Astyanax mexicanus: one gene and its partner. The protein of the gene in region 2 binds, or shares a complex with, the protein of the main gene of each other region. Links are inferred from orthologs where the notes say so. Each region holds a gene or a part of one and is shown on either strand. Other genes may lie near its edges. The genes, in order: sst7 and somatostatin receptor type 5.

Evidence for each region.
Region 1: the proteins of somatostatin receptor type 5 (region 2) and sst7 are in contact, whole or in part, in a cryo-EM structure (PDB 8X8L), measured with the Homo sapiens proteins. The link is inferred for Astyanax mexicanus from reciprocal best matches to the Homo sapiens genes SSTR5 and CORT. Residues at the interface, in NP_001044.1 of Homo sapiens: Tyr89, Leu96, Gln99, Asn100, Ser103, Asp119, Gln123, Glu182, Thr185, Cys186, Asn187, Ala188, Trp190, Gly198, Phe201, Ile202, Thr205, Phe264, Phe265, Asn268, Asn271, Glu279, Ala283, Tyr286, Phe287, Val290, Tyr294; in NP_001293.3 of Homo sapiens: Cys93, Arg94, Phe96, Phe97, Trp98, Lys99, Thr100, Phe101, Ser102, Ser103.

The regions. Positions count from the first base shown.
Region 1 is NC_064420.1:41,466,522-41,483,225, reverse strand, and holds sst7 (cortistatin), read left to right. Parts: upstream 1-8,574; 5' UTR 8,575-8,802; coding exon 8,803-8,904; intron 8,905-9,721; coding exon 9,722-9,949; 3' UTR 9,950-10,395; downstream 10,396-16,704. UniProt on the Homo sapiens protein: Binds to all human somatostatin receptor (SSTR) subtypes. It also inhibits cAMP production induced by forskolin through SSTRs.
Region 2 is NC_064428.1:35,178,195-35,195,092, reverse strand, and holds the start of somatostatin receptor type 5, read right to left. Parts: upstream 6,837-16,898; 5' UTR 6,677-6,836; coding exon 5,951-6,676; intron 5,097-5,950; coding exon 4,689-5,096; intron 1-4,688.

The DNA of each region.
Region 1 (16,704 bases), on a different chromosome or scaffold from region 2:
AGTAATTATGAATTCTGGTTTAAAACATCATGAGAAATACTGTGTATATTGAACATTTCTTTATGGAATAATTTTACCCTATTGCCCACACCCAGGCGGATGACATTTTTTATATATAATATTTGAGAAGAGTGTGTTTATTAAGCAGGTGATGGTGAATAAGGCCTTAAGTTTGTAGTAGACATGAATATGATCTTAAAGAACATTTTTTTTATTTAAAGGTCTAAAGAAACTACACTTAATTTAAAGGTACCTTATCCATTTTGTCTGTTTTTTAAACACACACACTCATCTCTTATACAAACATGACTCTTTACAGAGCCAAAATTGACTATTCTGTGGCATCAACTTAAGAACCATTTAAAGCCCCTTTGTTTCTAAGAGTGTATGTATAAGGAAGTTGCTCTGTTTTGTTGATTTGATTATTATTATTATTTTCTCATTTTTAGTTATAAGTTCTGACCGCCACATGAGGCTGACATGCATAGAGGTTTTAGAAGGTATTTTGTATGAAACACTTTATTAAGTGAATTAAGTGCTGTATGGTTTGTTATTTAACGGGTTTTTAAACTGTTTCCATCACAAATTCATTTTGTTCGCAGTCTGCTGGGTTTAGATCTTGATTTCCTGTAGAATGTCATGTGGTGTGTCTTTCCCGTGGCCTGCAGCTTAAGCAGAATAAGTGTGAGAAATCACTTCTGTGATCAGAGTGATTGTGAATGGTTTTAAACGCTACACTCAGTCAAATGAAGGCGCTCCTCCAGGTGAATTCACTGTTTACTGTATTTTAAACTGTTTTATGCTCTCTATTATAGAAGGCATGTCCTCAGCCCGTTCTCTTGTACCAGTCATGTAACCCAGTGTGTTGCCAGAAGAGTGGACATCCCTATTCTTTCAGCATCGAGTGTTTAATAAATCATGTTAAATTCACAAAATCCATGTGTTCCTTTAAAATAATAAAATATATAACAAATATCTCCCCTCTTTCTCTTTAATTATAGAAACAAAAACACTTCATTTTAACCCTTTGACATTATCATTAAAAAAACTGTAATATTTTAGTTTTTTTATTTTATTTCTTTGTTTAGGGCAATAATGAAAAGAATTCATGTATTTTTTCTTTTATGACCCAGTCTTTAAATATATACGACTATATGAATAAATATAATAAATAATGCAAAGAAAACGTTCATATTGATAAAGATTTAAAAGTACAGAAATCAATATTTGGTGAAATAACCCTGTTTTTTTTTTTATCACAGATTTCAAGCACCTTAGCATGTTCTCCTCCACCAGTCTTACACACTGCTTTTGGTTAACTTTATGCCACTCCTGGTGCAAAATTCAAGCAGTTCAGCTTGGTTTGATGACTTGTGATCATCCATCTTCCTCTTGATTATATTCCAGAGGTTTTTAATTTGGTAAAATCAAAGAAACACGTGATTTTTAAGTGGTCTCTTATTTTTTTTATCCAGAACTGTATATATGATTGCTGTGTAATTGGCAGCACTTTGGTTCATGTGTTTTCTAGATGTGTCAGGTATATTACTGTATTTTTGTTTATTTAGTTTAATATGCCATTAAAAAACATCAAATACTGATAGCATGTTCTAAATTGATGTTCTACTTATCACCAATTGGAGAATATGTATTTAATGAGTCTATTTCTATCACTAATTCATTTTCTATTCATATTTTTCTAAAATGTTCAATCTGTTTATAACATAGAATAGTATACGTTATTGCCTAAAAAAGTCAATGCTGTTAGTATGTAACTGTTAACACTTTTTATTCATTTTGTTTCTTAGGTTGTTAGTAGCAACAGTAACCACAAGATGGCACCAGGAGCATTGCAAATATGTTTACTGATATTACTTTGAAGATCAGTGCAGTTGTGAGGAACCTAACATCCTGTACATGTAATGCACAATAATGACCTATTACCTAGAGGAGATTTAAATTCAGTATCAGATATCTGTAAGATGAAGTAAAATCATAGAAAAGCCTGGAAATTCAGAGACTCGTTTATCTCTCAGAAACACCTGGAAAATTAAAACATTGATAAAAATGTCACAGAAATATTTGTGTTAAGTTCCAATAAAAGGTGAGGGGTTCAGCCTCTGGTGCTTTATGTATTATTAAGGATGTTTAATCTTAAAAATAAAGCCCTAACAAATAGTTTTTTAGAATAATAGGCTATGCCAAAAAAGAACCACCACTTTTTGGTTCCATCAAAGTAAAATTGGGAAAATTTCACCTTAAAATAGCAGCTTCAGAATCGTGCACATGCTCCACTGAATTAAAACAGACACTGCAGTGTCACTGTCATCGCTTATTTAAACTCGGCATGTAGCTAAATGCACAGAGGAATTAGAGATGAAATTCTCTATACTGTATGAATTTTAAATATAGACTGACAGACTACAGAGTGAATGGTACTATTTTAAAACTTTAAAATGTACATATTGTTTCTCCTCTCTTTTCATTTAATCCCTTCCTTTCTCATTTCTTTTTGTCTTTCCACTTGTATTCTCTTGTCTTTTATTAGTGTTTCTTTCTATATCTCTTCTTTTATTTTCAGTAGTTTTCTTTTAACTTATAACTTTCTCTTCTTCTATCTTTTCTTTTCTCTGTTTTCTTATTTTTTTATTGTTGTCTCTTTTCTTAACATCTCTTCCTTTCTCTTCCCTTCTTCCCTATCTTCTCCACATTTTCTTTTATTCTAATTTCTTATTTTCTTTTATTTAGAGCTATTTTCTTTTTTATTAGCTTATTGTATCTTCTTTTTTATCTCTTGTTCTTTGTATTTTCTTAATTTCTCACCTGCAAAGTTTCAGATTAATAATTTTTATCTTATTTTCTCTTCTCTTTTCTTAATTTCAATTTCCCCCTCTTCTTTTCTCTTCAGTTCCATTTTTATGTTTTCATGTTCTCTTATCTATTTTAGATGTGAATTAATGTGCCTCAGTCATCATTGTAAGTATATATTTCTTGTCTTTATGTTGGAAGGATACTTCACATATCTTGTTGCCATTTGAAGTTTTTTTAAAGCTTTTGCTAATTAGTCTAATGAACAATCATGCCAGTAAACATATGGTACTAACTCTGCTCTTAAATGTTCTGTGTGTCTCATAGAGCTGTGCATTAAAGATGTTCTGTAGCTGAGAAGGTAAATATGAGGCAATATGACTCAGTCCAGAAAGTCCAACACAGACTGTAGAACTTACTAGAGTGGGCAGAACTGATGCCGCTGGTGTTTTTTCCGTGTTGGTGCTGCTTACTATATATATATATATTTGTTTAGCGGTGGTCAATTGGCATGAATTCTTCAAACGCAGTGTATCAAGATTGCGCTCAGGGGCCAGATCATCTCAGCCCTGCATTAATCTCAGCAGAGCCAGGGGGCCCGAATCCTGGCCGTGTCAGACTGCTGTGAAAAACGAATAAAAACCTCTAATATCAGCTCTCAGGTCCCTGAACTCGGCCCGGGCGTGTACGTGCATCTCCAAAGAGGTGTCCATCAACTAACACGTGTGCAGCCAGGAGGATGACCTGAATTACAGTGTTATGTCATCTGGAGATCACTGGAGAGCACACACACACACACACACACACACATCAAATGTTTCAGTTTACTTTATTACTGTATATTAAAGCAACAAATTGCTGTATTTATTTTTTCATACACTATGTTCTTGGGACAGACTATGAAAACAGCTGCATCCTGTATATTTAACTGTACCTTTTGAGGAATAAACAGGTGGTTAGATTGAAGAAGTTTCCCAAGACATTACTGCTGTGTTGTGAGACTAAACACCAGGCAAAAACAAATCAAATTTACCATATACAGAAACGTCCTAAACTTTACCTTATTATAGACTGTAAAAAAAATACCATACAGCTCTGGAAAAAATAAGAGAGCACTTCAGTTTCTGAATCAGTTTCTCTGATTTTGCTATTTATAGGTTTATGTTTGAGTAAAATGAACATTGTTGTTTTATTCTATAAACAACAGACAAAAAAAGTAACATTTCGTATCAAAGTCAAGTCAAAGTCAAAGTGGTTTTTATTGTCATTTCAGCTATATACAGAGTACACAGTGAAACGAAACAACGTTCCTCCAAGGACCATGGTGCACATAAACACAGTGTAGACAGAACAATAGTGCAACAGTACAAAAGTGCAGACAGACAATACAACACAATACAGACAAAGAATAATAAATAACAAGACAGTGTGCAAATTATGCAGTGTGCAAAAAGTGTGCAAAAAAGACCAGTGAGGTAGTAATTACCTCTATTACACAGTGTGCAATAGAGTCCAGTGAGGTAGTAGGGTTTTTAGTGCTGTAATAGGGTTTTTATTGCTGTATTATGTAATTCAAAAGTTAATTTCCTATTGGCTCCTGAAATCCTTTAGTTGCATTATGGGTGTGTCCCCCAACTTTAACTCACCATCACTGTGTACTCTTGCCTACCAGGGCTACTTTCTCATTGGCATCAATTTATATTTTATATAATAGTTGATTGCCTGGCAGAAGGGTTGTAGGCCATAAGTGCAAGCTACCATTTTCTTTACTACAAAGAGTGACTTCATGCTGGTTGATAACCAACCTATTTTTTACTTTCACATTTCCAAAAAAAAGGCCCTGAAATTATATATGGGTATTGTAAAGAATAATTAAAGTTTTATAATGTATTTATTTATGCCAAAGCTGTAATACTTTGTAATTTTCAATACATTACTATTCTTATTATATAGTAATATGCTGAAATCTTACAATCTTTATTGTCAACTTTTTGTGCTGTAAAATGTAATAACTATATACCAACTAACTTGCTGTAAAAAATAAAAAGGTTAATAAAGGTATCATTTTACATTGCACTTTAAGAAAATGTCACTTTTAGTGTAACACCTTAGCCCATGTCTGTCTTCTGTTTCTCCCTTATTTGGTCTCTTGTGCTCCTGTCCCTCTGTTTTCCTGTCAAGTGTCTCCACCCTAGCTCTGCCCCAGCCCCGCCCTAGCTATTAGTTTTCTCACCTGTGTCTTGTCTATAACCCCGCCCCCTTGTCATCCTAGCCCAGGTGTTTCTCACTCTCCTCTTGTATTTAAGCCCCTCTGTTTGAATGTTCAGTGTCGAGTCTTTTGTATCCTCTGTATCCTTGCTGTCCGTATGTATCCTAGTCTTAGTTTATTAGTCTGTGTTTCTTAGTCTTTGTTTTAGTTTTATATTCTCCTTGCCTTGTTTTTTTGTAGTTGTTTGCGTTACCCGTGTTTTGTTTACTGTTTTATTTTATCTTGTTTGTTTAAATAAAATATTCGCACTTACGTCCACCCCTGCTCATTCGTAACATTTAGATGTTTAGATTCATATAATTTCTTTTAAAAAACCAATCTTAAGAATTTTGTCAAACCAGTGAGAGATTCTGTCAACAACAATTTGTACTTTTATTAAGTTTTCTTAGGTTCTAAACTGTCTCACTCCTTAACCCCCCTTTTTTCCCTATACACTCCTAACCTTTTGCCCCTCACCCTTATCTCTCACATCTCTCCTTTGTTTAACATATGTTGATAGAGACACCCCCAATGATGACACCCCCCACATACTCCTCCATAAACCCTTACCCTTTCTCCCCCTGCTGTGTTCAAAGCAGTTTCTCCTGTATGTAAAGTCCTGCTAAAATGTCTTAGTAGCTCAGTCTAGTTGAGTCTCACTCAGTTCAGTCAAGCTCAGTCTAGCTGAGTCTCGGTCAGAGAGTCTCACACAGACAGTAACAGACAGACAAGTCACATGGACTAGTCAGGCGGACACAGAGGGAGCAACGACCAACTAAGCTGTGCCCGTGTAGATTTTCTGTCTGCACGAGAATAAACTCAAGTCATCTCTCAAGCTGTCTCCTGATTCCTGATTCTGACTCCTGATTCCTGAAAGCCGAATTTCTAACACCAGGTTTCTAGGACTATGACTTCCATTTAAATAATAAGCCTACAGTTTAGCTTAATTTAATTAATATTTATTCTAAAGTTTTCTAAAGTATTCTAAAGTATAATAATGCACAGTAAATGTCTACACCTGACCCTGATGCTGCAGCAGCATTAATATTGTTATTTTTCTATTTTTATTGTTTATTCAGGGAGCACTGAAATCAATTTATTATCTTGAATATTTGTTCATAATCTTAGGATTATAGTAATTGTATAGTATATTATTGTAAAGTATAGTATAGTAATTGTTTCAAATGTTAAAGACAATAAAATCTTTCTCTCTAAAGTGAGTTGGTTTCTGCAGGAGGACACGTGCAGTGTCAGCGTCTATCATCTCATCAAAACCATAAAAAAACTTCCCCTGGTCATTTTAGGTGTCAGACAGTTCGATCTATCTGTGAGCCCGACTGTGAGATTAGAATCGTATGAGGAGGGATGAAGAGTGTGGAAATGAGAAGTGTGTGCAGGATGGTGTGAGCACACGCTGTGCTGTAAAACACAAGTGAGAGTAGAGTTTTAGTAGCATCCAGTAAATATTGGAATAGTGTATTAGCTGTTATCAGAGACTACAAATAATACTTATTATCAGTTATTACAATATGGGTTCTTTGAGTAATATCCTATTTAAATCTGCTTGTCTGGCTATGATCAATACAACACACACAATCTATATATTAATATATGTATATAAATACAGCTCTGGAAAAAAAAAAGTAACCACTTAAAAATGATGAGTTTCTCTGATTTTACCAAATTAAAAACATCTGGAATATAATCAAGAGGAAGATGAATGATCACAAGCCATCAAACCAAACTGAACTGCTTGAATTTTTGCACCAGGAGTTATCCAAAAGCAGTGTGTAAGACTGGTGCATGTAATTGTATTAAAAATAGAATTCAAAACTTTATGAATATGAACTTGTTTTCTTTGCATTATTTGAGAAAGTCTGAAAGCTCTACATCTTTTTTGTTATTTCAGCAATTTTTCATTTTCTGCAAATAAATGCTCTAAATGACAATATTTTTATTTGGGATTTGGGAGAAATGTTGTCTGTAGTTTTTAGAATAAAACAACAATGTTCATTTTACTCAAATATAAACCTATAAATAGCAAAATCAGAAAAACTGATTCAGAAACTGAAGTGGTTTCTTAATATTTTCCAGACAACTTCTGGAATCTAAAGAACACTGCACTGTGGGATGTTCAGTATGTATGTGAGTCCTCCTGTATTAAATGTGGATGTGAATGTGGATTTCTTCTAGTTTCTAACAATTCTAACCAGACTCCGCCGGTCACAATCATTTCCACCCACTGCACTGCACACTGTGAGTGGTATTTATTGCCTTCTGTGACGTATTCCTTGTACACATGTGACACTATGGATCGAGGCCTCACTCCAGCTCTGATCATTCACATCACCTTGCCATGAGCACACTGGCCCGTGTTTAACTTCACTCACAAGACCATACCACACAACTGAGTTAACCCCTGAGGTAACACTTCTTTATCAATTTACATACTAATATCCCATCATTTAAGGCATGTGTGTGTATGAAAAAAGGTGTAATTAGCTAATACAATACATTATGAAATGAACGGAGTAGTAACTTCAATTATAACTTGTGATTCTCCAAAATTGTAATTTTCCACTTTCAGTGGAAGTAAAACATCTCTATTGAGAATTTCTTTTGATCAACTTATTCAGATTATTTTAGAGTCAAATTATGTTTAAAGAAAAAGGACATACTGAATCTTCACTGAATCTGACAGAATCTGTTTTATTAATTACGCCAAAAGCATAGAAGTGCTTTTTTTAAACATTCCATGTTCCATTGGAGATGCAAACATTTATATTGCAGTGTGGTTACTGGTTAATTAATTTCATTATTTAATTCTTTATTTATTTATTTATTTATCTATATTAATCATGTACTATTTATATAGTTTGTTGCATAACTTCTGAAAAGTAATTTTGAATATGTATTCAATTAGTATCTATTTTTCAATCATTTTCCATTTTTTGCACATAATTTGAAAGCATAAACTGCCCTTTTAAGGCTTATGACTTGTTATTAATTTGATTTAACATTGACTTCCGTTGAAAGTTGAGTATCTTCTTCCTTTTCCTGTAAAGTTACCCGTTTAGAGACCCAGGGTGTTTTGACCGTGACGGATGTTTCCTACGCAGAACTGAATTGAGTTAAATTGAGTTAAATGAGACATTTCCAGATTTAAACGTGCATTTAAGACATTATTAATAAATTTAAGTATCAGAATATCTGGTATTTTTTGTCGGCACATATTCTACTTTGGAATTTTTTTTGCTGTGACTGATGTCAGGACCATTTTTAGCCGTTTGACGTGAGCATGGAGGCGCGTGCTCCTCAGCTCCAGTGAAATGGCTGGTTTGTTAGGAGGTTAACTACTCTGTGCTTTTGTTAGTCCTTAAGCCTCCTACTCCCCCCTGCCCCCCACCCCACCTCACTCCCTCCCTCTCACCCAACCCTCCATCATCCACCAACCCCTGCGTCAAGCCGAGACCGCCAGCCCAGGGTATATAAGAGGCGGCCACCTCAATCCCAAAGCCCAAGACACTTGAGCTGAGACCAGCAGCAGCAGCAGCATCATCAGCAGCATCAGCAGCAGCAGCAGCAGCAGCAGCTTCAGCACCTCCTAAACTCCCACTCTGCACACACTCTCACACCGGCTCTACGGGTCTGCTGCTCCGTCACGCTCAGCTTTCTCTGGCTTTACTTCTCTTTCTTTCTCTTTCTCTCTTCTTTCTCATCCTCTGCTCTTCACTGGTGTAGTCAGGATGCAGATTTTGGCCAGCTTAGTGTCTCTGCTGCTGGTGCTGTACAGTGTGAGGGCAGCGGCCGTGCTTCCAGTGGAGGAGAGGAGCCCAGCGCACACCAGGGTGAGTCCAGAGCCCACTTCACCTACTGCCCTCCTTTCAGCACTGGACAGTGGACTGGTGCACTTAACTTACTTTGTGTGTGTGCATTATTTCTCAGAAAAAATCTGTGAAATATATCATTTCAATGCTTTTTACCTATTTTGTGTTGGTATATTTCATGTATGTTTGTAATTATGCCCATTTTTTTCAGTTTACGTACTGCTATCCCATGACTTCTGGCATGTTAGTGTATGAAAAAAAATTATTAGACATTTTGTCTAAAATTGATTTATTTTTAATCCATAAATTTTGGCAATATTTTTATTTATCTTTTAATAGGATTTTTATTTATTTTAAAATTATTATACACACTCTTCAAAAAAGATTTAGAGCCACAGTGTCAGAATTACTCTAAATAATGACTTAATCTATTTGAAATTCAGTCACTAATTGATTAAACTGGCATTAATGAGTTAACTTTAGTGCATTATTTCAAACTATAACTATGCAGTTAAATGTTAAGGTGTTAAAAGGGGTTCTTTTATAGACTAAAGATAGATTTTAGTTTAAAGAACATCATTTACATCCTCCACAATAGAAGTATCCAGGTTTCTTCTATGAACCCTAGATGTATTCCTTAGTTTTTATTCCTAAAACATAAACTATTTTGAATTATTATTTTTTTTTAACATATAACCTTTTTTGCTTATCGTACACCGTGGAGTCCCCCAGGGCTCTATTTTGAGGCTAATTTTAATTATGAATTAATTATGAATAATGTCTTTCTAGGAACAGTTTGAGCTCTGTTTGAGAGTGTAACCGCCTTTGCTCTCCTCAGGAGCTGAGTAAAGAACGTAAGGAGCTGATCCTGAAGCTCGTGTCCGGTCTCCTGGATGGAGTGGACAACAGCGTGCTGGGCGGGGATCTGGTCCCCATGGAGGCAGAGGAGCCCCTGGAGTCACGACTGGAGGAGAGAGCCGTCTACAACCGGTTATCACAGCTGCCCCAGAGAGACCGCAAAGCCCCCTGTAAAAACTTCTTCTGGAAAACCTTCACCTCCTGCTAACAGTGCCAGCCTGCCAGCCTCCGACCGGGTTCCTCCATCCGAACGCCCACCTCTCCACCTCCCACCTTCTTCTTCTTCTTCTTCTTCTCCACCAAACCCCCCGAAACTATGAACTGTGTGCACTTTCACTGTAGTTACCATCACCAACACCGCCGTCGAGAGAAAGGGTCGCCGTGGACTTGTGGACTGATGCAGCCAGTTTGTTAAAGATACTGATGATTATATTTATCTATTTATTGACAGAATGATTTAATATGTATTTATTTATTTGTTTAATTATTTTCTTGTTTCTCGTTTCTGAACATCTCAGACCAATAAAGCATGGTGAAGCAATTTGCTTTTTGATAAGGGATGTCTCATTCTCTGTGGTCAACCCTCGGGACAGAAAAGAAAAAAGCAGTCAACTGTTTTATCCCAATGGAGAAATAAACGTATAACCGATCAAAGACTCTGTTCTGCTGTTTTTCTTCATGTTGAGAGATTGATGAGAGGTCTATTTTGTATTAATTTTATATTTTATATAATAAGCCTTTTTTTACGACAAGCTCACCTATATACCTTTTTAAAATATATATACTTTTTGTTTTATGTATTTTTTACAGATTTATTTCTGCCTTTAAAATAATGACATATAAGCCTATTGTTTTATAGTTTACTAATGGACAAAATTTGGCAACTTTCTAGAATCCAGGGATGATTTACACTTAACACTCTATACAATCCTTTACACTAAACGACAAGAAGTAGCAGCCAGTTCCACACAATGTACTTTCAATCAGATATCTGTATGACTGTATTGAAATCTGATTCACCAAGACAGAGTGCCAATCCTCAAAGACATACATGAATTCACAGACATATATATATATATACAAATTCAAACATGCATACAAACACTCAATGTAAGCATTACAAACAAGCAAACAATTTACTTATATACTTTATACTATATAAAAGTAAAATCTCACACACACACACACACACACACACATATATATATATATATATATATATATATATATATATATATATATATATATATATATATATATATATATATTCAGGAATAACATGGAAACATCACTCATATAGGGACTTGAACCAAAGACCTCAGTGCTGAGAAGAGAACAAGCTATCCACAAAGTCAACATTCTCCCCAAACAAATGCATATTATTAATAAAAGTAATAATAATACTATTAATAAAATTGCAATGTTTTAATATATATTTTAAATTTATTATTTTTTATAGTAATATAATGACATTTTATATATTCGTATCCTAAATTCTGCAATTGCAAAATACACATATACAATTTTACTATATGCATTTTAGACCCCGTGTGGAAGACCCCCTGTGGATTGCATTAGATTGCATACAAGGGACTGGTTGTGTCCTTTCTTGTTCACACCTGTTCAGCAGATGCGCTCAGAGCTGCTGAGACGGCAGTGTCTCTCAATGGCATGATCTAAATATGCACTCTCCATTGTGGAATAACAGCATTTTCACACCTGCAGCTTTTATTCAATCAGTGAATCCAGGCTTCAGTCATTCACAAGCTTTGTTCAGCAACACCGGGGTGATAACCGTGTTCTGAGCGCTGAGTGCTGAAACTTGCCATCATTGAGAATTTAAACACTGTAATCTGCTGCTATTGCTGAACATGTTCAGTGCTTTATATAAGAAGCAGCAGCTGAGAGGAGAACACAGAACACATTTCCTACACTGTACAGCTGAATAACAGGCGGTGGATGCAGTGGATTCACTCAGTTCTCAGAGTAAACATGTTAAGCAGCAGCAGGTCTGTAATGTCCGGACCCTCTAACTCACACGGTTCACACTCTTACGTCTTTCCTTACGCAACGGCGTGAAATATAATAGGTGTAGCGAGGAGCTGAGCCGAGGCATGACATTCCTCCATACAGCCCAAATCACCGAGAGCCTTCAGACAAATGACTCATCAGTGTGAATTCTAATGCTGTCAGGAATGCCTGTTTTCTCCTGGATGTACTGAAAGCAGCCCTGTAATCATGTGTTCAGAAGAAATCTGGCAGTATTGTGTCTTTAATGATCAATAACTCAGCTTACACTCTAAACGCTAAAGATTCGTAAAAGGGTCTGTTCCAGAAAACACATCAACGGGTCCTTCCAATAAAAGGTTCTCTAAATGATCATGCAGAGTAGATTTGAGTGAAAGCATGACAATTACATTTAATAATTAAATAATATGAAGATTCAACTATGTACAAACTTTGAAGCAAACATACAAGCCAAAAAATAACAGTAATCGATAAAATTGTAAAAGTACAATTCTTACAAGGTTTTAAATTCAAACATCAAATTACATTGTCAAGAATGTAATTAACAGTGTTTTTTTCATTTGTGCCATATGACGTTAAGAAAAAAGGTCTGTAAAGCAGAGCTGTAAAACAAGCCTTTTCCAAATGCTCTGTGATTTTACATAGCATTACTATTGTTATGCTAATATATCATGGTCAAATACAATTAATAACTGTAAGAAAATAAAGGAAATTATTTTTTTACATTCATATTTAAACATTATATAAAAGTAAAGCTTCTTTGTGGATAGTTATTTTAAACGTTTCTTTATAGCACAGACAAGGATTTCACTACAGACCAAAATCCCTAAAATCTTATATAATTGAATAGCTTAAAACTGGAAGAACCAGTTGGTTTTATTAGTTGTTGGTTAATAATATTTTACCTTGGCCAAAAGGATATTCTTACAATGTTTTTAAAGCTTTTCCAAATAAATTGTACAGTATTTTATGTGCCATATGACCTCAAGAAAAAAGTCTTTAAAGCAGAGCTGTAAAACGAGCCAATTCCAAAACCCCAAAACTGTTACATCACAGTCTAGACTTATAGACTTGTTATAGTTAAATGCCAAGCTACAGTAGCTGACTGGGTGAGAACTCCTCAAATAACTGCTCAGAGAATGGCCCCCTAATGAAAGCCCACTTGTGGCTAAATACAATCAAATCCTCACAGCAATACTCCAAAATCTGGATGAATTACTGACTAAATAGACTCCAAATAGACTTTTTAAATAAATGATGTATCCATATACTCTGCCATTTTACATAGCATTACTACTGTCAAATACAGTTAATAACTGCAAAAAAAAAATAGAATTTTTATTTAAATAATTATATTTTAACAGTATATAAAAGTTTTTTTTTGTGTATTGTTTTTTTTTAAACTTTTCCTTATAGCTCAGATTTCAATACAGGCCAAAAAGCCCTAAAGAATAGTATAATATAAATAAAATAAAACTGGAACCTGTCGTGTTTTATTAGTTGTTGGCCAATTATATGACAGGTTGAGTAAGTAATATTCTTTCTGAGCTTTTTTTGGAGTGATGACATAAACACTCCTCTGAAAGGAAATTGATCCTGTGTTTGTCAGAGTAAAGAATTCTTCTGATATCTTCATTTGTGATTCATCTGTCATCAATCACATCATAATTACATTGCTGATAGACTCATTCTCAAAAAAAATGATGTACTCAAAAGGAATAATCTAACAGGAATGAAAATGATTCAGTAGCCATGCCAGACTATCACAGAGTGACTCAGAATGGAAATGAATGCTCTTCAGTGATGAGTCCTGCCTTTGTTTAGGTAAAGACGACCAAAAATCGATGTTTGGAGGCACCATGGTCTGCACTAAGATCAAAGGTTTGCTGTCACATCAAGCATTCAAAAGTCTTGCTGTCATGATTTGAGGATTGGTCTTCATTACAAGCACTTTAACAAGCCAACATTCGGTTCATGAGGTTCTGCAACCAGTGACCCTACCTTCTCTTACCTGTTTCAACAGGACAATGCTCATCCGCACACTGGTGCTATCTCAGGAGTTTGCCTTAAAGACATGGATACTATGTCACTATGTCAGCTGAGTCCCCAGAACTATCCCTGGTTGAAAATGTGTGGGATGCTGTTTGAAGCACTACAAACAAATCTTCTTTTTTTTCCACATTTTCTCCCTAATTTACACGGCCAATGACCCTCACTTTTTGCACGCCGAGTAGCATCACAGTGCACTCGGAGGAAAGCACAGCGACTCGATTTCAATACATTAGCCCACAGACGCCTTGTGCCGAGTGACATCACCCTTTTAGAGTGATGTGGGCAGAGAGTGCCATCTATCCACTCAGGGAGAGCAAGACCAAGTGTGCTCTCTCAGGGCTCCGGCTGCTGATGACAGGCTACATGAACAGGATTCGAACCGGCAGTCTCCTGATCATAGCGGCAGCACTTAGACCGTTGGACCACTCGGATCCCCCAACAACAATCCTCTTCTAATGCAAAGTCTGCACAGGATGTGCTGTCACAGAACACCATTAGGAACCTCTACAACACCATGTGGAATGTCTGGCATATTGCAGCTTTACACACGTGTCACACACTACTTCTGTATCTGTAGTTTATTAAATGTGACCAAGAGTTTCCTATATAAATTGTTAATCATTTATTGTTCCTGTAAAACTTTATCTTTCTTCTGAATAGTATTGCAAAAAGACTCAACTTTGTAAGCTTCAGTGTGTGGAGACAACGCCTAGAGAATTAATGACCACAAACCAGCTGCTCACCTGAAGCTAATAAAGCGTCCAGTCTGCTGCTCACTCTCTACCTCACAGCATCGCCCAGACACACTCAGATTTCTCTCTGGATTCCAGAAAGTGCAGCGTTTGATCCTTTTTCTCTGGCACTCACCTTTTTATTACACAGTCATTAACCTTCAATGACTGACATTAAATTACTGAAGCTTTCAGATTACTATTATTGACAAAAAATTGCATAGTAAAATAATAACAGTATAATATTAAATCTAATTATGTCCAAGTGTATTAAAACAGATGTAATAGGGAGTTAACAAACATATTTAGTTGTGCACAAACACACACACACACACACACACAGCTGGGAATAATCTACATACAAAGCTTTACCAAAAGAACAACACACTCTGCAGCAGCCACATACATGGACAAAAATATTGGGACACCTACCTGCTCAATCATTGGTTCTGCTGAAATTAAAGGTATTAAAAAAGTGCCTCCACTGTCTCCAAGGAGAATTGCTGTGAGGATTTGATTACACAGTCCCACTGCTCCATGTGTTTAGTTCACAAATATCAGGACATACACTAAATAAACCTAAGATCACCCTGCACCTTAAATTGGGAGTTGGAATGGAGTTTGTGATCCAGAACTAATAATCCAACGTCAGAACCTGACCTCTCACAAAATCAATCAATCAACGGAATCAAATCAAATGGTCAAGTGTGTGCATTCAAAATAACTTGTCTATGTAAGTTGACATTCCTCAAATTCACAGTTAAGAGTAATTGATTAAAATTGGTATATATATATATATATATATATATATATATATATATATATATATATATATATATATATATATATATAGTTGACCACAAGAACCAGGAGTAAAGGCATAAAGTTATCCAAAAGCAGTGTGTAAGACTGGTGGAGGAGAACATGCCAAGATGCATGAAAACTGTGATTAAAAACCAGGGTTATTCCACCAATTATTGATTAGTGAACTATTATTTGAGGTCTAAAAGTTCTGCATCCTTTTTGTTGTTTTAGCTATTTCTCATTTTCTGCAATTAAATGCTCTAAATGCCAATATTTTTATTTGGAATTTGGGAGAAATGTTGTCAGTTTATAGAATAAAACAACAGTGTTTATTTTACTCAAACATAAACCTATAAATAGCAAAATCAGAGATTCAGAAACTGAAGTGATCTCCTAATTTATACATATATATATATATATATATATATATATATATATATATATATATATATATATATATAGGAGACCACTTCAGGGATGACCTCCCTGGTATCATATAATGTTTTGAGTATCCAGGATCCTGTTTGTATAAAAAATAATAAATGAGGTGTGAATTTGTTGTAACTGTGACTCTAATTAAGGCAGGTAAGCTGGCTGGGATGAAACGATGTGTGACGTGGGAATTTGTTCTCTCATCTGGAGAGTCTGCACAGATTAATCTTGTTAATCTCCTATTGTTAGATGGTTTTAGATTTAAATTGGCAACTTTAAAATTGGGCCTTTGTCGTCACAAGGATGTGACCGTCCAGTCCAGCCTGCTCTGTGGAGGCTGTGGGGATGAGCAGCAGCCAAAAGAAGCAATGCATTAAAGAAGATTAATCCTAATCAAGGGACAGTCATTAAAAGCATGACTAATATCATGGGCTACTGCATTAAATATGCCAGTATACTGAATAATAAGTCAATACATTCTAGTGGAGGTGGTCAGTCAGGGTGTGTATAGTATGACATGGACAAATGTGTCCACCCTTATAGTCTGACGGGATTCAGAGCTGTGAGAATGATTTCAATGAAGAAATTATTTTTTCTGTCTTTTTTTGTCAGTAATCTGAAAATGCTGTGTGTGGTGGGGAAAATGCTGTCCACTACACGAGTGCCCTGAGCTACAATGAGTGCATACTAAAAGCACATCAAAGCGGCTGCCTGTAACCAAAGCGTTCTGATTGGCTTTCCTTTGATGTGGAGCCGTGCTGCTACCTTAACGTGAATTTGAAATTCATATGTAATGTCTGGCGTGTTTAGTTTCGGGAAGTACAGAGTAATGGCTTCCCTTCCGACACAAAGAAAGCGCTGGAATTTCTCTCCCTGGTATTAGAGGCTTAAACGGACGGGTTTTTTGCAAAGTAAA
Region 2 (16,898 bases):
ATTTTACCTGTATCTTATCAAGACAGCAGGTAGGCGAAGCTAGTTAGCAAATGTTAGCGAAACAATTTGCTTTAGTTGGTTCAGTAAAAAAACTTTGAAGAACCTCTTTTTTCAAGTGAAAAGCTGCAACATGTGTAGAAAATGATACTGAAAGAAGGAAAGAGGCTTTCAGTGCAGCGTTCCTCAGCGTTCCTGAGCGTTCTGGAGCTGGTGGAGCGTGTACCGAGCGTCCATCCCAATGTGAAGTTAATTCAGTGCATTAATTTGCCTGTTTTTCTCTGGCGGTGGTCCTGAGGGACACATGCCAGAGTCTTTTACCACAGTGAGCAGCAAAGCCTGAGTGACTGCTGTCGCTTCCGGCTAATTTCGCACCTGCTGATGATTATAAACCCCCAGTTTCTCCATCTTCTCTGACCTGTGTTCAAAAAGCCAATCGTACGAACGGATTTGGCAATTCCTCTCTAAAAGGACTAAAAGGGGTGAAAGTCTACAACTCTATGGAAACGTTAAAAAGCTGGCTTTTACCAAAAACACAAACTTAACAGCCTGTGGGAACTCGTTTCAAAACACGCCATTCACTTCCTGCTTCTTACACATGCTTCATAAACCCACAAGCTGGGAAAACAACCTGTTTAGAAACCGCCTGACCATCTGATGATGACCTTGAGCCTTGAGAATTCTCTTCAAGGCTTTTCGTTTCATGCACAAGAATGATTGAAACATTAAAAAAAAACAATGTTCCCGCTAAGCCTAATGTATTCATTGTAAAAAAAAAAAACTGGGGTGTCGGATCATTTTTCTGGCCACGTCACGCGTCCTGAAGTACTCATGTATATAGTCTATAACGCGAGCGGCTGGTGGAGCAATGGAGACTTCAGAAGAGGAAACTCAGAGCTCAGTAGCTCCTGCATTCACTCACAGAAAAACCAAAGAAATGAAGGAATGAAGTTTCTGACTGAACATAACCTGGATTCAGATTCTTCTGCTCTAAAAGGAGACCGCATCACACCCGCCCAGTTTAAAATGATTCTTCTTTCGCATGTTCGGTGCAATTACCCATTCTCAACAGAGAGGGCCCTAAATCTCAAAACTTACGGATATCAGCTTTAAAGGTCACCTTCCGTCGTTTTTTCTTTCATTTTAAAATGTCTAGTTGTGGTCTCTAGTATGAATGAATGACATGTGAGCCGTTTTTGTAAAAAAAAAAATGCTCAGGTGTCTCTGTATAGCTCTTTTTTAATGGACTGTTTTAGGGGTGTGTCCAAAATGACCGGATTCCAGCTTTGCTCATGAATATTCATACATGCAAACAGCATGCAAATATCTCTCCTCTGATTGGCTAGGAGCACTGCGACGCCCCTCCACCGCTCTGCCGCTCACTGCCTCCCACCTCCTAACTGATGAGCGGTGATGTTGCGTCGCTTCAGCTCCGCCTCTGGGAGTTTCTCGGGCCAAGGTGGGCTGGTCTGTGAGTTTCTGCCTACGTAGGCAGAAAGATAATTCAAAATTCACCCGTTTTTCGGAGGGGGGGAGGGGGGATTTCTTTGCTTAGCTCCTGCAGACAATGGGGGCTGCAAAACAGTTTAATGTGCAGGTGTACACATTCAACTCAGAGAGACCTACTGTATTCCACAAAAAACAAGAAAAATCGGATTTTCGCGGAAGGTGAGCTTTAACAAATAAAATTCAGAATCTTCACTCCTTCGTTTCTTTGGTCTTTGGTTTTACTATGATTCAATGAGCTACTACGTAAAGACGCGACCCCAGTTTTTAGAATGAATATATTAGATATTAGGTTTAGCAGGATGGTGGTTTCAGCACACTGGTTCCATTAAACAAAATATTTTATCTATATTCTTCTCCACTCAGAAATGCTTCTGCTTTCAGTTTAGAAACTAAATAATACAGACTGCCACTTTAAAGTCAATGTAATCAATGCGATTTTCCAAACTTTTCCAACTTTTTCTGATTTAGAGTTGCATATAAAAATGTAGACAATTGACTCTTTAAACAGGGTGATTAAAATGTGATATTTGCATTAAGACGCATATAGAGTGACTGTTACTTCCTGTTTTCCTGGACTTTGTCATGAATGCTAAGATTATAACTGGTATGTGTTTAACTGGGTTTAACTTTGGTATCCGGGGTTGTTGCGGCGTTGCTAGGTGGTTACTATACTAAATTCTTACTTTGGTATACCAGGTGGTTGCTTTGGCATTGCTTGGTGGTTACTATACTACAATGGTGTTGCTAGGTGGTTGCTACACTAAATCCTTACTTTGATATGCCAGGTAGTTGTTGTGGCGTTGCTAGGTGGTTGCTACATTAAATGCTTACTTTGGTATGCCAGGTGGTTGCTTTGGCATTGCCAGGTGATTCTATGGATTAATTGACAGTTGCTGTGGTATCTCAGGTGGTTGCTTAGGTTGCCTAGTTGGTACCATCGAACACAATATTTTAACCTTTATGCACTCAGAAATTCTTCTGTTTTCAGTTTAGAAACACAATTATACGGACTGACACTTTAAAGTCAATGTAAGAAACACTATGATTTTTCAAACTTGCCCAGCTTTTTCTGATTTTGAGTTGCATATAAAAATATTGATAATTAACTCTTTAAACACATTAGTTAAAATATATATTTGCATTAAAACTCATATAGAGTGAGTGCTGTTTTCCTGGACTTTGTAATGAATGCTAAGGTTATAACTGGTGTGTGTTTAACTGACCCTCCCCCACTCTATCCACCGCCCCCCCCCCCTCCATAGAGCCAGCATGGAGCCACTCAAACTGCCAGGAAATTTATGCCCGACTGCTCGACGCGTCAAACCAAACTGTCTGCGTTAGCATGACCTTTACCATGTAGAGCTGCATCAGATAAAACACTCCACTCTAAATAAGGGCATGTAGCGGATTATGAGGACATGTACACACACCCCTAACACACACAACAACACACACACACACATAACAACACACACACTTCAACACACACCAACAAACATCATGCACATAGAAAACCCCTCAGGCGTTTGGTCACTGCTGGGACATCTGGTTTTACAACATGGTTTTAAACGAGTCCAGATGGAACATAAATATTATATAGCAGATGACCTGCAGCAATCTATCTACACTATATAACAAACAAGTATTGTCTCTAGTATTGTTTACTCCGGTTAGCATAGTATAGGTTGTTTCTACTGGATTTCTAGATTTGCGTTGCTGTGAGGATATGATTGCATTCGGCCACACGAGTGTGAATGAGGTCAATACTGATGGATGACTCCATGACTAATCCCAAAAGTACTAAAATGCTAAAATGACTGCTATGTGGTTGCTATGATGTTGCTAAGTGGTTGTTATGATGTTGCTAAGTGGATGTTATGGTGCTGTTAGGTAGTTAATATGATATACCTTGTGCTCACAATGGTGTTGCTCAATTGCTAGATGGGTGTAGTATAGTTCAGTACATCAGGTGGTTGTTGTGGTGTTGTTTGGTGGCTGCTACATAGGTATAGTACAGTACAGAACATCAGTTCAGTACATCAGGTGGTTGCTGTGGTGCTACTACCTAGGTACAGTGTAGTACAGTCCATCAGGTGGTTGCTGTGGTGTTGATAGGTGGCTGCTAGATAGGTATAATACAGTACATCAGTTCAGTAGATCAGTTGGTTGCTGTGGTGTTGCTAGGTGGCTGCTAGATAGGTATAGTACAGTACAGTACATCAGTTCAGTACATCAGGTGGTTGCTGTGGTGCTGCTACGTAGGTACAGTATAGTACAGTACATCAGGCAGGTGTTGCTTAGTGTTTGCTAGATGGTCTCTGTGGTGTACCAGAAGGTTTCAATGGTCTACATAGTACAGTATAGTAAAGTACAACAGGTGGATGCTGAGGTGTTGCCAGGTGGGTTACTACACTAAATGCTTACTTTCATATGCCAAGTGTTTGCTGTGGTTTTGCTAGGTGGTTCCTACACTAAATGCTTACTTTGGCATGTGAGGTGGTTGCTGTGGTGTTGCTCAGTGGTTACTACACTAAATGCTTACTTTGGTATGCCAGGTGGTTGCTAGGTGGTTACTACACTAAATGCTTACTTTGATATCCAAGGTGGTTGCTGTGGTGTTGCTAAGTGGTTACTACACTAAATGCTTACTTTGCTTTGTCAGGTGGTTGCTGCGGTGTTGCTAGATGGGTACAGTTTAGTAGAGTTCAACAAGTGGTTGCTGTGGTGTTGCTCCATGGCTGCAATAGTATACCAGGTGATTATGATGCTGCTGCTAGAATGGTGTTGACGGGGGATTCTATGGATTAATTGGCAGTTGCTGTGGTATCTCAGGTGGTTGTTCAGGTTGCCAAGTTGTACTCTTTTCATTATATTGGCACATAAGAATAGTACACAATTGTTATGTCCATTAATGTTTATGGGCAAATAGAATTTTTGTGTAAAAGTTTTGCAACAATAAAAATGATATTAAATCGGATGCTAATTTATGCAATAGAATAAAATCAGTTAATTTCATTCTGGCCCTGATGTGTGCTGCATGTTCATGTATAACATTACACACGTATAACTGTACACTATACACACACACACATATATATACACACACACACACATATATATATGTATATATGCACCCATACACACATTATAAATCATCCTGCGGTCTGTGGATGCTGTGTTACCTGGCTGCTCTGCACGTGTCCGTTAAACTCGTGGTTTCTCGGGGGCAGGAAGGAGTCGTGGGTGGTGATTTTCTCGGTCCGCGGGACGCTGGGGTCTCCGTCCTCCACGCCGTTGGTCTTGCGGAAACACAGGACCTTCCTGAAGCTCTGCTTGAAGTTGTCGCACAGGAAGCCGTAGAGGACGGGGTTGGCGCAGCTGTTGGCGTAGGACAGGATGACGACGGTGAAGTAGATGCCCACCATCAGGCTGTTCTCCGGCAGGATGACGATGACGTTGACGATGTTGATGATGTAGAACGGCAGCCAGCAGAGAACGAACACCACCACGATCACCACCACCATACGCGTCACCTTCCTCTCCGACCGCCGCCGCTTAGTGAATCCGGCACGAGCACCTGCTGACTTCACCTTCAATCAATCAAAAAATGAATGAATCAATCGATTCATCAATTTGTTTAACTTGTACTTAAAAAAGCTAAAAGTTTGTAGAACCTCTAGGTTACCACAATAACCTACAGGCTCCTCCAAGAACTCAAAGCTTTTTACACAGTTTTTTCAGTCTGAATCTATGAAGGAGCGAATAACGATTTCTGTACCTGAATCCAAATATAATAGCCTACATTTCTTGTACGAGCCATATTTCGAGATCTTTAAAGAACCTGATGTTGTACTGAGGTATCGCTAAAGTGCTTACAGGCACTCATCCTGGAGGTTCCTCAATGGACTTCTCATTCTTTGCATTGAAATAATAACTACTTTCGCTCAATGAAAAAGCTTTCATATTCTTTAAAACATCTTTTTCACAATGAAGAACCTCCAAAAAAGCTCTGTTCGAATTTTTTTATGTGAAAAAACAAAACAAAAAAACAAATATGTAGAAAAGTCTCAACTCGGGCAGAGTTAGTTAGCCCTGGTGTGGTGAGGTGATTTCTGCTGCGGCTGCGAGGCTTTTCCAAAATCAGTGGAAAAAACATACTCTTTGCTGGAGTAACTTTCTCTTTTGTCCAGAGAAGGCTTTCTACTAGATTTTCTAATCCCTAGAAGTACTGGATGGAGTACTGGATTTAATTTCAACTCGGTTTTAAAAATGTTACATAAAGTAAATAAGTGAACTGAACTTCAGTCAATCCTTTCTTTTAGTAAACTTTATTTTTCCTAAATCAATCCTTTTTTAAAGTATCTGAAATTAAATTTACTTAAAAAAAGTCAATTTTACTTAAATTTTTTTCAACAGGCATGATGTTAAGAGGTTGGAGACTCACCTTGACGATGATGAGCAGATAGCACATGCAGATCACCAGCAGGGGGGCGAAGAAGCCGAGGATGGCGGTGTAGAGGATGAAGGCCATGGACCAGACGTCCCGCGGCTCCGGCCAGCTCAGGTTGCAGGAGAAGAACGTGTCCTGCACGTCGGAGAAGATGACAACGGGAAGAATGACCACGAACGAGATGGCCCACACCGCGGCACTCACCACTTTGGCCACCCGCGGCCGTCGCCACCTGGTGGAGCGTATGGGGTGCACCACGGCCAGGTAGCGGTCGATGCTCATGACCGTGAGGCAGAAGATGCTGGTGAACTGGTTCAGAGAGTCCGCCGTCATGAGGACGCGGCACAGGAAGGAGCCGAACGGCCAATAGGAGAGCACGTTCTGCGTGGTGAGGAACGGAAGGCCCAGGATGTAGAGTTCGTCGGCCACGGCCAGGTTCAGGATGTAGATGTTGGTGACCGTCTTCATCTTGGCGTAGCGCAGGACCACGTAGATGGCCAGCGTGTTTCCGACGAGTCCCACGATAAAAACGGTCAGCGAGATGATGGCCGTCAGCATGGTGCTGCTGCCCTGGAACGGCATGCTGTAGTCCGAAGAGTTATAGGAAGAGTTTCCCAGGAGAGCCGGCGCCCTCGAAAACGCCGTCGCCTCCAGAATCCCTGACGAGTTCAAGGACCCCAGGAGGGGCCCCTCCCATTCCGATACAGCCCCTGGCTCCATTCCTGATCCAGGGAGGGGAAGAAAGGAGAGGCAGAAGAGGCAGATGGAGAGGAGAAGAAAAAAAAAGAAAGAACGAGGGAGCGACGAAATCGCGCAGAGAAGCGACACGTCAGTGGGTCTCGGACGCCCACGGGGCTGTTGTCAGAGTTTGGATGCTGGGATGCTGTGAAAAGAGAGAAAGATAGAGATAGAAAGAGAGAGAGAGAGAGAGAGTACGACAGAAGGAATCAGAGAGAGGGAGAGAAGGAGAGAGATTGTGAGTTGAGAATGAGAAAACTCCCACTGCACAGATTGTACCTGATTTCAATGCAGTGTTAGTCAGGGTTGTGATTCAGCGGAGGTGGCTCTGTTCTGGCCGCTCTATGCTCTATATCTGATGATCTGAGTGTGTGTGTGTGTGTGTGTGTGTGTGTGTGTGTGTGTGTGTGTGTGTGTCTTTAGCGCACTCATCTCAGAGACCCCATGTGGTGTCCAGAAAGTGGGATGCATATAAAACTATAACTAAGGTGTGGTCGTTGGTCATAAAAAACAACTTTAAAGGAGAACTCCTGTGTTAAATTTACTTTTAGTTTAGTAAATCATGATAAAAAGTTCTTATCTTTGATGAATAGCACACCTCCGTTCTCCCACAGTGTTCAGAGATCCAGAAATTTTAACAGTTTGTCCAACAAACACCCTTCAGACTGGGTGATATGGAGCATAATTTACCCTGATAAATCACTTTTTCCACCGTTATCCAGCTCAAAGTAGCTCCACACCTCCTTACTAGAATCCAGAGAGACCTGACTTTTAAAACGAGGCATTAATAACTAAAAAGTGCACAAGAAGCTTATTAAAAAACACAGTTTACATCCCATAACGCTCTAGCTTTCAGCTCCGAGCGCCGCCATCACTGTACTGATAATGACATAGACATATATATACATATATACACATAGACTACGCATAGCAAAGATGTAGTATTTTGTTATATGTTATATTATGAAAATCGGGTATAAGTTGAGATTTGTAGAGTTGTGATTATTATAATATATTATGTATTAAACACCTTCCTCACTGTAAAAAAAAAAAAAGCACTGGTCACCAGCTGCTATGACAGGAGGCAGGCTATGCAGAGTCTATGTATATATGTATATATATGTCTATGACATTATCAGTACAGTGATGGCGGCGCTCGGAGCTGAAGCTAGTAGCGTTATAGGATGTAAACAGTGAGTTTTAATAAGCTTCTTGTGCAATTTTTTAGTTGTTAATGCCTCGTTTTAAATGTCAGGGCTCTCCAGATTCTAGTAAGGAGGTGTGGAGCTACTTTGAGCTGGATAAGCACAAAATTACTGTATTTCAGGTGTGCTATTCATCAAAGGAAAGAACTTTTTACTATGTTTTACTACAGCAAAAGTCCATTTTACACCAGAGTTCTCCCTTTTTAAGGTTTAATTGAATTAAAGTAGTTCCTTTAAATAACATTAAATAACATTGACAAAAGTATTGGATCATCTGCTTATATCAAGGGTATTAAAATAAGTTTATCCTGCTTTTTTTGTCGGAGTAACTGCCTCTACTGTCCAGAGAAGACTACTTTCTACTAGACTTTAAAGCAGCATTGCAGTGAGGATTTGTATTCTGAATTTATTGTATTTACTGCAGTGTTATATTTTATGGTTTTAAACTTTTGCACTTTATGTTTGTCTATCTTCTTGTTGTTTAACCATGTTGCATCATGGTTACAGAGGAACGTAATTTCGATACACGGTGTTCCTGTTCTCAGATATAATGACAATAAAAGCCTCTTGACTTCATTTGACTTGATTGCATTTATTAACGAGCATCATCGTCGATTAGGTCAGGATGTTACAGGATGCTGATGATCCCACCTCAACCAAACTCATCCCATTCTAAAGTATTGTATGGAGCTCCATCATCATTACAGAGAACACAGTTCCTCCACTGATCCACAGCTCAATACTGGGGGGCTTTATGTTCGTCCATAGCCCTCACCTGACATTAGACATGGTTCCAATATATATATATATATATATATTTGTTTATCTGCTCAAAAGAGTCACTACAGATGCTAGAATTCATTAGAATGAGTGTCCACAAACAGTCCATTATATAGCACCAATATAGTGTGTGTACATAAAAACATATATACACCAACAAAAGCCCAAAGCCAAAACACTTAAGACCAGCTAATATGCCTATGCTGTTTGTCGTACATATATATATATATATATATATATATATATATATATATATCAATGCAACTCCAGACCACTCTGTAACTCGTTTAATCCTTGCACTCAGCACTAGTGGGGGGGTCAGGATGATGGATGACCATCCAAAAAGTATTGCAAAACATGTAGGGTATGTCCAAGCCACATACAAACACAGCTCTGGTCAAAAAATAAGAGACCATCTAAAAATGATGGGTTTCTTTGATTTTACCAAATTAAAAACCTCTGGAATATAATCAAGAGGAAGATGGATGATCCAAAGCCATCAAACCAAACTGAACTGCTTGAATTTTTGCACCAGGAGTAAAGCAGCATAAAGTGTACAAGAAATAAGTTTTCATCCTTTTTTCCAATTTTAGTTTTTTCATCTCTGCCCCTCGCAATCAGAATTTCAAGATTTCTTCCCATTTTCCATTTTTGCATACCATCAGATTTGTGTCACGAGATATAAAAATGGATTCTTGCCTCAATTTTCAGATTTTTCCATGTTTGTATCTTGTAACACACATCTGATGGTGTAATCCAACTTACAAATGCAAAAATTCAAAAATCTGGAAAAAAAATAAATATTTTTTTTCTGATTGTGAGGGGCAGAGATGAAAAAAAATAAAAATTGAAAAATGGATAAAAACTTTTTCTTGTAAACTAAACTACATTTAAAAAATCTGTTTTTACATCCTTTTTTCCATTTTTGCATTTAGCCTCAAACAATTAGAAAAATAAATTAATAAATGTTACTCTGACCCCCCAATTTTTTTATTATCTATTTTTTTCCGCTATTGGCAAACAGAATTTCAAGAGAAAATAAAGTTGAATCTTCTCTTGATTTTTTAGATTTGTGTTAAAAGACAGAAAAATAAACAAATCTGAAATCTGGCAAAGCTTGCAAAATGCAAAAAATGATTAATTCATTCATTGATTAATTAATCATTTTTCCTGACATTCCGATTGTAAGGGGCAGAGAGGAAAAAACTAAAATTGGAAAAATGGATAAAAACATTTCTTGTACACTAAACTACATTAAAATAAATGAAATTATGCGTTTTTACATCCAATTTTCTAATTTTGCATTTAGCCCCAAACGGTCAGAAAATCAAATAGAAAAAAGTTACACTGACCTTTTACATTTTCATTGGCTGACATGAATAATAGATAATTAATAATTTGGATAAAAATCCATTTCTTCTTCACTCTGCTGAAAATTAAACTTCTAAACGCTACACTGAGCAACAACACACAGCAGTAAGAGCTTATTATATTATAATAATGCAGCCTCTGTGTGTGTGTGTGTGTGTGTGTGTGTGTGTGTGTGTGTTATTATTATTGAATATAATAAGTTTTAAAGAGATTTAAAGCTCTTATATCTGCACTAGTGACAGTGCACTAGTATGTAAAGTGTGTGTGAAGTGTGTGTAAAGTGTGTGTGTATGAGATGAGCTGCTACTTGCCTGGTTTGTGATCCTCAGATGTTCTCAGGATTTATAATAATAATAAAATTAAAAATATCTCCTCAGATTAAAAGAATAACACCAAAAACACCAATAGCAGACTGTAGGAACGAGAGTCTCCCCATTATGAGCGCGCGCGGCAGCAGCTCGGAGCGCGAGACCCGGGCAGAGCGCATCTCTGAGCGCGAGCGGAGCGGCGGAGATCTGTAATCCAGACAGTGTGATCTGATCTGATCTGATCTGATCTGCTCCGGGCTGTTCAGAGATCAGACCTGTAGAGCTGCATTCTCCCAGTCACTACTGCTGCTGCTCACTACTGCTGCTCACTACTGCTCCTTCTGCTGCTGCTGCTCAAACTTACTGCAGCTCAGCACTGAGATACACCCCCTACACACACACACACACACACCAGCAGCAGCAGGAGAAAAAAAAACACAAAACACACACTCACACACACACCAGCAGCAGGAGAAAAAAAAAACACAAAACAAACACTCACACACACACCAGCAGCAGGAGAAAAAAAAAACACAAAACACACACACACACACACACACACTGCACAAAACCCACGTTAATGAGCACCTTACAGAGGTTAATTATAAATACACCTGAATGAACCCGACCAGCACGACCAGCAAGGTTGAATGAAGGTCCTCACACAGGGCTTAATGATCACACACTGCCTGCAATCATAAACCCGGGAGCCCATAAATTACCAGCACCAATCAATACCGCTCACTCACAGCTTCTAATCTCATTAATTCATTCATTAAATAAATAAATAAATAAATAAAGCATTAGCAAAAAACGAAACAAAAAAACACTGGTTTATGAAGCTCGTTACAGGAAACATGCTGTTGGATTAGCTTTAAGGATTAGAGTTGCATCCAAACTTTTTTTATTTTTAATAATATTTGTATGTAAAATGCAATTTGTCTGATCTTTAACTACTTTTGGTGTAAAATGGACTTTTAGTTTAGTAAAACATGATTAAAAAGTACTTTCCTTTGATGAATAGCTCACCTCCGCTCTCCTGCAGCTTTCTGAGATCCAAAAATTTAGCCTTACATTTAAATCGAGGCATTAATAACTTAAAAAAAGTGCACAAGAACGTTATTAAAAACCTCTGTTTACATCCCAAAACGCTAAAGCTTTACTGATGAAGACATAGACATATATATAGATAGACTCTGCATAGCCTGCCTTCTAGCGTAGCAGCCAGCGCCAACCCTGCAGACATGTAACACTATTAGACATTATCCTGTTGTAAAATATTTGTCATTGTCAAGTCATGACCACAACTCAACCTGAAATTAATGTCTTTTAATGTTGGTGGCCAGCTGGGAAGAGGCAGGCTATGTGGAGTCTATGTATATATATGTCTACGTCATTATTAGTTAATGCCTCGTTTTAAATGTTATGGCTACAACTACGAAACTAGCATCTATTTTTTTAATTAGTTGAGAAAACTATAATAAAAATACACCATATATTTTGCTAAATCAGCTAAAAAGCGTTAAGTGTTGGGTTAGCATCTACAGAATTGGACTTTTATTGCCAATAAGTGAACAATATTTAAATCTGTCAATTAATTTAATTATGCTGTTAAATTAGAGTGTAAAAAACGCTTTAACTGAATTAGCTGTAGCTAAAGTGTTGGGTTAGCATCAAAACGCTGGGTTGTTGAACTAAATTTGCCCGCTAGTGTTGGATTAGCATCATCATTGGGCGGTATGGTGGATTAGTGATTAGTGGTTAGCACATTTGCCTACCAGTCTTGGGTTCAAATCCCTGTCCTGAGTTTCCATGTTCTCTCTGTATCAGCATATCTCGAATTTATCAAACAGTCCAAAAACATGGAGATCAGGTAAATTGGTAAATTAACTAACTTCTGTTACAGTGTAGTTAATGCAGTGCTCCAGGTGGACGGTGGTTTCCGGTTGAGAGTATGCTGTCTCTGCTCTGTGCTGAGTGTAAATGGTTGTGTGTGTAAAATGTGATTGTAAGAAAGGCACTTTATAAGTGTAATTTCATTGGTCTTTCATAAAACAGCAAAAAGAGTTTATTTAATCATCTTAAAAAAAAAAACTAAATTAGCATCTAAAAAATTTATTTAGCATCTATTCTAAAGTGTAGAATGAAAGAATGCAAAATAGTTATGTTGCCTTTGCCTCTGCACCCTAGTGAACAAAATATATACTTAATTGTACTTAAAACATATTGAGAAATGTATGATGTAAATATACTAACAGATTTATGTACTTACTTAAAATATATTAAAAGTACATTAATATTATGCTTTGAAAGTAAAATTTGATCATATTTTTAAAAAAGTACAATATAGTCTACTTTTCAATAAATAGACTACTATGAAGTGCACTTTTAGTTTAATGTAATTCAATGTAATTCTAAAATATATATTTACAAATATACTTTTGTACACTTTTAGCAAAGTGTGTTAAAAACAACTACAGTTACAGTAGTTCACTTAAAGTACAATGTATCATGTAACTTTTTAGAAAGTAAATTAAATTACTACTACTAATTAAAAAAATGTAAAATTGTAACACACTAAAACTTGTAGTACATTATATTAAAATATATTTTTATACCCAATAAAGTAAACTAGACTAGAAGTGTGCTTCTTACAAAAGACAGGAACAAGAAGCATAGTTGTATATTTGTACTCAAATGTAAATATAGATCACATATATTTAACATATATCAATTCTTAGTGCATTTCTAATATATCTGGTGTATAATAAATAGTGATACAGTTGTGCTACTCATTATTAAATATATTATAAAATATATAATTATATTATAATTATATATTATAAATATATATGTATGTTTAAATGTTACTTAAGTAAATTTAAAATAGTTCAATTTCAGTACAGTTAAGTAGACTTTTTAAGTAATTTAAGTAAGAATGTTGTACTATTTTTATACTGTAATTAAAGTATAATAAGTATTTTAAAAAGTTGTTCCATTTTAGCGCTCTTTAAATATACTGATTAATAATAATGAGGCTACAAGAACACTTTAGTGCACTATAGTATAGAAATGCTTAGTATAATTTAATCTATTTTTTTACACTAGAGCACTACAGTTTCTTCAGCTGTTTCACTCAGTAGTGCAGAGGTGACACGTGCTGGATTATTATCACTATTATTACTGGTGTTAGTTAGTTCAGAACAGTTGCTCACGCGCTCACTGTGAACGCCGAGTGTGTGACGCACGAGCAGCTTTCAGAAATGAGATGAAGAGTAGAGGTATGAAGAAGAATGAGAGCATGCTTCTAGATTACGCAAGACACACGCAGTATTTCACACAGATAGTGTGTGTGTGTGTATGTGTGTGTGAGAGCAGTAGGGTGTGAAATCATCAGGGTAAGTCTGAAGTTGTTAGAGAAGCTCCAGACAGACAGCAGGACCGCTGGACTGCCTCTGATTTGTTTGTTTAGACAGTAAGAGTTTCCTCTTCGTTCCAGATCCAGATTCTTTGATCTGACGGTGTGAACAGGATCAGAGTGAACAACTCTCTGATTTATCTCATCATTTCTTTGGAACTTTCTCACAAAAAAATTGTGCTAATGATACAAATATACGCCCAATACCCAACTGTGTACAATATGGAGCACCATAGCAACCACACGACAACACCCGAGCAACCACCAAGCAACCCCAACACAACAGCAACCAATTGGTATTCTAAATCAACGACTTACGAACATCACAGAAAAAAAAAACAATCACTTAGCAACAACACCATAGCAACCACTGAGTGACACCATAGCAATCTCTAAGCATCACAATACACAACATCAACCACATGGGATACCATATCAATGACTTACGAACATCACAGAAAAAAATAACAATCACTTAGCAACAACACCATAGCAACCACCTGTAGTACCATGGCAACCACTGAGTGACACCATAGCAATGTCTAAGCATCACAATACACAACATCAACTACATGGGATACCATATCAACGACTTACGAACATCACAGAAAAAAATAACAATCACTTAGCAACAACACCATAGCAACCACTCAGTGACACCATAGCAATCTCTAAGCATCACAATACACAACATTAACCACATGGGATATTATACCAACGACTTATGAACACCACAGGAAAAAAAATAATCACTTAGCAACAACACCATAGCAACCACTGAATGGCACCATAGCAATCACTGAGTGACACCATCACAATCTGTAAAAGCATCACAATATACAACATCAACCACATGGGATGCAATACCAACGACTTATGAACACCACTGGAAAAAAAATTATCACTTAGCAACAACACCACAGCAACCACCTGTGATACCATGGCAACCACTGAGTGACACCATCGCAATCTCTAAGCATCACAATACACAACACCAACCACGTGGGATACTATACCAACGACTTATGAATACCACAGGAAAAAAATATCACTTAGCAACATTTTAGCATTATTTTATATTTATATTTTATATTTATGTTTAGCTGTGTGTGATAGTAATATTCCATTGTTGCTGTTAAAACTAATATTTTTTCAGTTCAACATGTATGCAAAATATAATATTTATTATTATATTGATTATTTTTTAATATTTGTTTTTTGTTTTATTACATTCAATGAAATCACATTTCACTATTAAAATTATTTAATATTTACATATGCAATCTTTATTAAGAGCAAATCAGGCTGTACTTTAAAGCTTAATATGCTTGTCAAAGTTATGATCTCTAGAATTTGGAGTTATGTTTATTGATCTCTCGTTTTATTTTTGTATGTGGAGCTCTATCCAGAAGCTGTGATTGGCTGGGCAGTATCCGGCATGTGCTGAAAGTGAGCGTTGTGATTGGCTCAGTTCATCGGTAGTCAACATCCTATCTAAAAGGGATCAGCTGTTCCATTTCCCCAATTACAGCTCCTTCCCTCCATTCCTCCTCCTCCTCTCCTCTCCTCCATTCCTCCACCTTCTTCCGGGGTAGGAGAGGAGGAGTAGGAGAGGAGGAGTAGGAGAGGAGGAGTAGCAAAAGTTTCTGGACGCAGCCCCTGTTTTTAGCTAAAGGACTTTTATTGTGAAAAACAAAACTGACAGGAAGTGGTGGTGGTGGCCATTTTTTTGGAGGATTACCAATGAGGGGAAAAGTTTGCTGCACTTGCTCTTAATCTGTAAGAAAACAGATCCTTCAAGTTTATTTTTTACTCCTGTTAATGAGTCTGGATTATTTGTGTAGCTGTGGAGTGGAGAGGTAAGACCAAGGCTTTTTTTTATTTTACTGGGACAAGCTTTTTTGGAACTGGTCTAATTTTTATGGATTTTGGATTCTTGGGTCTGGGATTATCTTAATTGGCATTGTTTGGACTCTGATTGGGCTTCTGGTGGGAGAATTAATATACTGACCTCTGGAAAAAAAATAACAGACCACCCTTTTAGACCTGAATTATGCACCACTGTAAAATCATAATAACTAATAATAATAATAATAATAATAATAATAATAATAATAATAATAATAATAATAATGTTGTTTTTGTTTGCAATGCACACAAAGGAATATACTAAAGTATGATTAAAAAAATATACCAACCTTAAATCCAGTTACATTAACTTTTTTTTATTTATTTTAATATTGGATTGGAAGCCTGAGCTTAACATTTTTTGATTATATTGATATTGATCTTTTTGTTCACAAGTCATCCCTAAATACTAAAATAAACATAAAGTGTTCTAAATTACATAAAAGTTGTGAAAATAAGATGGTTTACTTTGCTTCTTTGGTTTTAGTGGTGTTTTTTGTTTTCCAGTACAGTGGCTAAGCTAAGCTATTGTTTCATTGGCTTATAAACATTTCCTTTGGCTCATTTATAGTCTATTCTGATTAACAGCAGTGTGTTTATTATTAGTATATAATGTGCAACAAAATATTTGAAAAAAAAAAGAAAATACATGATGTCTATTGTAATGGACACAGGGTCTGAAATGGTAAAAGAAATTATGAGCTTCTTTGACCAAATTTTACCAAATTGAAAAGCTCTGGAATATAATCAATGGTTAGCAGCTAAAGCTAATGCTAATGTCAATGCTGCTCCAGCAGTGCTAGTTGGGGTTGGCACCAGGCTACAGTCTGATATACTGGCCTCTTAACGGCGAAAGAGCACTTGGTGTGGTTAGCTCCTAATGCTAATACTCCTGTATAACTCTGCATTTTAGCAGAGAGGCTGTGGACTGACGATTTTTTGAGAAAATTTTAAGATTTTAAGTGTCTTATAGTGCGAAAAATACAGTATACACAATAACTTGCATACACTGTAAACATTTATTGGAATATAAGTATATTAAGAGTTTTATATAAGTGTTATACTGAGTAAATAAACATGTACCGAACAGAGCAGGAGTTTTTGATTGTGATAATCTCTACAGCGCACTACAGCGTTTGTATATTCTCTTGACATTACGTTTCTGCTTCTGTGCACCATTATACTTATATATATATATATATATATATATATAT